2 linked regions of the Caenorhabditis elegans genome follow. The protein of the gene in region 1 purifies or fractionates together with the protein of each later gene. This does not show direct contact. Each region holds a gene or a part of one and is shown on either strand. Other genes may lie near its edges.

What was found. The genes of interacting proteins can lie anywhere in the genome.
Region 2: the proteins of F02D8.1 (region 1) and T14B4.3 fractionate together in Caenorhabditis elegans (co-fractionation; one large-scale study listed by BioGRID). This does not show direct contact.

What each region holds. Positions count from the first base shown.
Region 1 is NC_003283.11:14,976,446-14,980,201, reverse strand, and holds the start of F02D8.1 (uncharacterized protein), read left to right. Parts: upstream 1-1,571; 5' UTR 1,572-1,614; coding exon of another isoform or gene 1,615-1,695; exon of another isoform or gene 1,696-1,697; intron 1,698-3,411; exon of another isoform or gene 3,412-3,433; intron 3,434-3,756. Other genes in the region: grd-12 (Ground-like domain-containing protein), read right to left, coding at 219-371, 417-536, 759-1,172, 1,482-1,571, 1,615-1,695.
Region 2 is NC_003280.10:6,732,852-6,736,607, forward strand, and holds T14B4.3 (VWFA domain-containing protein), read left to right. Parts: upstream 1-2,085; 5' UTR 2,086-2,098; coding exon 2,099-2,135; intron 2,136-2,176; coding exon 2,177-2,308; intron 2,309-2,355; coding exon 2,356-2,978; intron 2,979-3,025; coding exon 3,026-3,124; 3' UTR 3,125-3,259; downstream 3,260-3,756. Other genes in the region: T14B4.9 (Core-2/I-Branching enzyme), read right to left, coding at 28-178, 225-331, 379-688, 747-932; mrps-18.C (28S ribosomal protein S18c, mitochondrial), read left to right, coding at 3,353-3,568, 3,620-3,712.

The sequences.
Region 1 (3,756 bases):
AAAGAAATATATAATTATTAATTCAAAGTATAAAGTTAAAATAATAAAAAGCTGAAAAAAAATAAAAGATGAAAAAGAATTGGCTGGAGAATAAATTCAAGATCAATTTTGGAGATGGAAATTTGGAAATTTTTGGAAATATTTAAAAAAGATTTCAACAATTATAAATAGGCTACTTCGAAATAATTAAAAACAAGAATTAATTCAAATAAATATTCCTAGAACCAAATGTTCTCTTCATGTCCATCATGCACTCCAATTTCATCATACTTAGCCGGATACATTTGAGTTCTCAACTCGTCATCGTTCATTGGACGAGTCACTCCGGTATCTAGAGAATATGGAACTGCTGAGCCATATATCACAACAATCTGAAATTTAGATTTTGATTCGATAAGTAGATATGTGAATAATACCTTTCCGTCTCGACTCCGCTTTTTGCAATAAAGGTCTCCGCGGTAATTTGAAAGATTTTGTACTTCTCCACTGGCAACGATTGCTTCCATTGAATGATTGAACATTTGTTGCGTTTCGTGCTGAAAACATTTAGATTTTTTTATGTAGAGCACTTGACAACTGTTTCAAAAGAAACGGCTAAAAAATTAAGTTTTTTGAAAACACTTCAATTTATCCTGTTTCAAATGATCTAAACTTATACCTAGTCCCCTCAATTCGCAGTTCAATCTCCGAACCTTGAGAACGACCCCACCCAACTTCTCTCCTAATATGCAAATCAATAAAATGACCCTGAACCAAACCTGAAGCTGTGTTGCAAATCGTTGCAGATTACATCTCTGCCATTCTGGCTTCAACATCTCTCCAACTTTCTGTTCTAAAAATTGATCCAACTGTCGATTGCAACATTTGTATCCCTGAGTGTTTTGGAAACATTTTGGTGGTGGAATTGTAGTAGTTGTAGTTGGTGGTGGGGTTATATATACAGGTGGAGGTGTGACATAAACCGGTGGAGGTCTAACGTAAGCTGGAGGGGTTGGATATGGAACCATTGCATATTGGGGAGCAACTGCGTATTTTGGCATAGCATATGAGTTCATTGGAATTGAGTATTGAGGAGCAAATGGGTAGGCGTTTGAAGGAGCCGCATAGTTTGCTGGAGCAGTTGCATATGAATTTGCAGGCGGTGTTGGAGGAGGCAAACCGTAGTTGAATCGCTGAAAAGTTTTAGGCTTTACAAATTTAGATTTGCCAAGGCCATTCTAAGATTCAACAAAAAATTGGTTGAGTTATCAGCCAAATGAATTCCCACTCTAATACTCTGAAAATCAGTCACCATATCAATTTCTATTTCTGAATTATTTTTTCTTCGAATTTTCTTCAAGTTTCTCACAATGCTCATTGGACTGAAAGTAGGAGGCGTGAGAGTTTGCCAGGAGCTTTATCACCAGCTCATTTTCTATTCTTATCAGAAAAATGTCTACTCATTAGTTTTTGCACCTTCCAAATCTTTATCGTCAGATTACCTGTTGCGGAGGATTATAATTCCGAGATTGATAATACCCAGAGTAAGCTGGCGGACATTGATTTTGGCAACCACCAGCACCACCACCGAGCTGAAATAATTTTGTTCTAAATTGAATATCCATGAAAACGCACCATTGAGAGGAACCAGCAATCCGCTAACCGGAAGGTGAGTAATACTGATAGGATTACTGTAAGTTTCGGCCTGTGTAACATTTCTGAAAATTATTGAAATGAGAAGAAAATTAGAGTAAAAAGTAGAGAGAAGTGGTGTAGAAAATAGAGAGAAATTGAAACTTCAAAAACGAGGAAATGGTTATTGACAGCCTGTAGATTTCTTACTAAAAAAAGCCAACCTTGTGAATTAAGTTTTAAAATATTTCTGCAAAATCCAAATTCCGACTTTTGAAAGTTAAAAAAACGGTACTAATTTTATTAAAACCCTAAAGAGCGTTGCACGGCAACAAACAGAAATTCAGTTGATTGGTGGAAAGCTAAAAATTTCATTGTTTAAATCAGATTTTCAGAGGTAAACTTCCATATTTCCACTAGTCTTTTACTAGGCTCTTGGAAACTCTAGTCTCTTGAAATTTACTGACGGGGAAGTTTTTAGTTTTCCAGTAGCATATTTTTCAAGCCAAATGCTCAGTTGGAAGTTGGGCTCTAGGAAGTAGACCTACCTAGCTGTAAATTGAAATAACTACAACAAGTGCAGCATAATGGAGGTTTTTACATTTATTAGCTCATAAACTTCAATTTGACAAACTGACTCTTGTTTTTTATTTGAGTTTATTTTAGAAAAATTTCAACGCAAAAGTAATTATCTAAACTTAATTCACATTCTATTAACTGCAAGTTCCTAGTATTTTCAAAAACAAAACAAACAATAAAAAAACAAAAAAATCAAGAGATAAATAGGTTCAAGGAGATTGAAATCCGAAACCGTAGCCTATAACAGTCCAAACGTCCATATAAGCCGCGCTAGCTTTGGTCACAAATCTCGAACAAAAGGGCGGAAACACCGTGCTTTTTGTGTTCACAAAAAGCGCATCAAACGGCTAACAAATCAATTAGAATCGACACATGGGAAACGCAGTTTTCCCTCCCAGGAATCTCGAGATATAAACACACTGTTTTGGCATGTGAGAAGGGGAAGGTAAAGCCGAAAAACATTGAGGAAAAGAAAAGAAGAAGAAGGAAATGCATACATAATCACAGTCCGTTTGGATGAGAAAACAAATCTGTGAAAGTGAGAATTCCGGAGAGGGAACAGAATTGAGGGGTAGTCTTTGAAAACTGAGAATCTAGCCAAAACTGTAAAGCCCTTGTGAGAAAAATAGTTAATTATAGGTGTGAACTGCTAGGCTAGAATTCTTCAATTTTTCCAAATACTAATCTTTAAAGCGACTAGAAGAACTGGAAAATGCCTTCAAAGTACTTTAGTTTAATACAAAACCCTGAAAGTAGATGCCAAAGTTTTTAAGTCAACAACACAATTGAAAACTAGATGTGTGGAACATTCTAGACGGTTATATCCACAGAGTGGATTCCCCATATACTTGTAATAAACCGCACTTAGATGCATGAGAGACCCCGTGTAATTTGTTAATTGGATGAATATTTGCCGCAAATGGCATTTCTTGTTAAGAAAACAGTGAAAATGATTGTTTTCCACAGCGGCCAGACACTTGTACTATTGCCAAGGTTGTATTTGATTTTTCGGATTATCTTGATCTTCGATTAGATTTTTTTAGTATTTTGAAGCAGCTGACGCCATTCCAAAAATCTGGCGTGGCAGAAATCAAAAGTTTAGTTGGAAGACAAAATCAGATGAAATTAAGAGATTACCTGTAAACTAGACACTAGGAACTGAAGAAGAAGTTTAGAAAAAAGGGGACTAGATCTAAACTTAGACCTAATTCTAGGCGAAGGTGTCATGGAAGGCGCCCCTTTCTCCCAGCTTTTCTTTTTTACAGTGTGGTATCGTTCAAGCTTGGCAGCTCATAACTGGGGGGGGGGGGGGGGTATATTTAAAGTTATTCGAAACTGGAAAATTTAAAACGTAGCCAAGCAACTCTCTGAGTTTGTCGCGCAAGCGTTATAAGTCTACCTGTATGCCTACAAGCACCCATGAACACTCAGCCTGGGAGGCGGCCTATGCCTATTTTGGAATGATTTTTATCCAGACATCTTCTGAGGTTACGAGCGCGCAAGACATGGGTTGAAGTCTACCTACGCCTGCTTTCCCGTTCAGGAAAATTCGTGAATGAATCGGAA
Region 2 (3,756 bases), on another chromosome or scaffold:
GAGTGTAGAGACTCCTGTAAAACAAACCATCTCGAAATAATCTCAACGTTTTCAAATCCCACTTCAAACTTTCATCTATTCTCCCGAATTCCTTGTCAATATCAATATCGTTGGCACCATCAAGAATCTCAAATATTCTAGATATTTCATAAACTGATTTTCCAACGACGTCATGATTCTAAAAACATTGCATTTTTACAATTATTAATAAAAGTTTTCCCCACTTGCATCAGTATAAAATAATCCCAATCCGGTAATTTTACCATCTTCTCCATGCATTTGTAGTGTGCTAAATTCATATTATGACCCGCTGAATCTATTCGAAGTTCTTCTGAAACTCTAGTTAATTTAAATTATACATATATTCAATCAGTATACCATCTATTACAAATACATTTGGAAGACATCTACCAAGTCTCCTAATTCTCCATTTAAAATCATCTTTGCTTTTTGAATCAATGAAAAAGCAAAATATATTCTGTGGATGATATGACATTTGTACTTGTTTCTCCAAAAATTCATAGTCTTTATAGACAACTCGTGCAAATACAACACCAATTTTCAACGGCCTCAAATGAAAATTGAATGGAATAATTCGATTTTGAATTGAATAACATGACATATCTAAACTCTCCAAATTTGAGCTCAGGGGTATTCGATGCTCACCAATAAACTTTTCGATATAAGACTGAAATTTTATGTTTTTGGGTTATTTTTTAAACATTTAAATATTTAAAATTACTAACTCTATCATTTGCCAAAATTCTTCCACAATCCAAATGAGCTGTCTCTTTGCGTCTCCATAATATATTAGTTTCCTTTGAAGTCCAAAAACTCATTGTTATTCTAGGTGCCATTGAAAAGATCACAATTGTACAAACAAGCATTGTGAGTAATAAGAAGAAGAAGGTCCTGGAGTATTTGGAGCACATTTTGGAGAAAACGGAAAAGAATGGATGACAGATGGAAATGAAAAGAGAAAGAATGAAGAACCAGAGCAGACATTGGAAAGAATCCAAACATTTCATTCATTTCAAAACATTTACATCCACTTGGGTCTCACACTTTCTTTTTTTGATCTTCAAAAGTTGAGGGTTCTTGAGGGTTATAAATTAGTATTCAAATATTTATTTTTGTTTGTTAAAATTGTTTTTTTTTGTTGTTTGATCGAGAAAAGTACAGTCATATTTACAGATGGTAATTTGTTTAAATGGATACCTTCGCATTGCAGAAAACAAACTAAACAATTACCGTTTTTGAATTCTGGAAAAAATAAAAAATTGCTCTCATTTTCCTATTTGTGAAGGCATTATTCCTTGTTTAAAGTTACATTTTTCATAAATCTATTTGTAATATTTAGAATCGAGGAAATAGTTTTGAATCTTCTCATCTTTTATCTATCTATCAAATTGGTAGTTACCAGTAAATCGAATAGCCTTGAACTATAAAACTGGTAATTCTTAATAAGGAAACTAAAAGGTATTCATCCTTATATTTATCTAAGATTTTACTTCCCTCCGTTTAATTCAATTTTTTTCAAAAAGTCACCTTTTCAATAGCCGCATCAATTGTGCAATAGGTTCAACAGACAATATAGTTTGATTGGATAACAATTTGTACCGGAACAAACTGAGAAGATAACCCTATCATATTGGATTGACCCACCCTTTTTATCAACAAGCAAGTGAAGGAAATTTATTGCATGTTCGTTTTGAAGGAAAATATTCATTGCTACAAGTTATTTTTATCACAATCAGTGAATAAAATTAAAAAAAGATATGTATTAATTTTTTAAGCAAAAATATACTTCAAAATTCAATTTCATTATCATTTCTGCGCGCGGAACCAAAAAATTTGACAGTTTTCTTCAAAACCCAATAAATATCTGCCTTTAATATTTTTGTATACATAGATGAAAACTTTATCAATAAAAGTTTTGGCAAAAAAATACAGTAACCAATGCTGATGAAATCAACTTCCACGGAGTTTCAAGTTCTCTTGGTTTGTGGTGTCTCAACGAGAAAAGCAAACGCGCTCCATTGTTACAGAAAAATTGTGAGTTTTTTATTTCTCATTTTTGCTTCTTTTCAAGCCAAAAATGCGAAGTTTTATATGGATTTTATCATTTTTACAAGGTAATTTCTTATTTATTTTTTGCAAAAAACTTCAATTTCAGTTTGCCTTGCCGGGCGTCTTCAAATCATTTTGCCAAACGACCACATACTTGATTCGAGAAATTCGTCTTTCGATTCAGTTTCATTATTAAATTTCAACAAGAATGCTTTTGGACTTGGTGCTGCAGTTGGAGGTAGGTAACATTTTATTAATATAAAATGTTTTATTGCCTTATTTCAGCTCATCAGGCGATCGGCGATGAAAAATTGTTCCAAAAACCGAAGGCGTTGTTGATAATCGTTATTGACGGACTGGAAAACTTTGATTATGACGGACATGCTTTCAATTTTACGGATAAATTCCAGCCAAATCAAATTCAAGAACATTTCAAACAACAGTTTGGTGATGATATGATTCACGCCGAAGTAAACTCCTCTGGAATATTTGGATCATCGTTGTTTAAAAGAAATACTGAGGGAAACCATGCTAATTACGATACTTATAAGGAGGATCTTCAAAATATGTATCGACTTTCGGATGCAATCATGGAGAAAGATCGAAAAAATGCCAATGTTGTTGACTACTACCGTGTTCACCTTGACGTCTCCAATGCGCGAACAGATATGGAAAGAAAACAATTGGCAGAAAATATCAAGCGAGGTATTGATACATTACAAGATGCTATCAAGAACAGTTATGGCGGGAATGTGGTGGCTGAAATCTATACTCACGAGAAGCCTGATAGAGATGAGAAGGCTAGAATTAAGCTGTTACAAAAAGTATTGCAAGTGACTCAAGCTAGATATATCGATTATCCGGCAAGTGCGGCCATTATGATGTTTGTGGGATTCTCCCTTGTCTTCGTAAGTCCCATGTTAATTCATTCTTTCTAATAAAAAATTAACTTCAGGCGGCAGTTGCGATGTTGTGGTTGATGTTTGATGAAAGTGATATGGCCAAGAAAACGATCCTGGTTCGACTATCGATGGGTAGACAGAAGAAAGATTAGAATTAGATTTATAAATGATTGTAAAAACTGTATTTTCATAATTTATTTCGCTTTACGGCTTTACGGTTCTTTTTTTTGCATTTTTGACTAATCGCTTTCCGGTATTTGTTGCCATGTCATAAAGACTTCAGCTTTATGCATTTGAAACACTATCAGTGTATCAGGTTCTAAACCTTAAGATATCTCATTTTTAAATTTATCAATGCAATCCAACAGTATCAATTCAGAATGCTAAAATCGGCGTCATCGTTGGTGCGAAGTTTCATAAGGCCGCAGACATTCAGGTTATGTAGCTCCAGTTCAACCACGCAGGGATCTCCTTCGGTTAGCTCTGACGATGAGCCCGTAATTTTGGAGAATAATCCATACACAAAAGAGCCACGGAAGTGCCTCTTGTGCTCAACTGGTGTTGAACTCGATTACAAAAATTCGAGACTTTTGCAGGTACGAAATGTTTTAAACTGGAGCTCGGTAAAATCCAATTCTTTTTTTCAGCAATTTGTTTCCACATTCTCTGGGCGTGTATACGATCGTCACATCACTGGACTTTGCGACGAGAACAAGAAGAAGCTGATTGAAGCAATCGCGGTATGATGAACTGGAATAGAGTTAGATAAACGATATTCTTTATT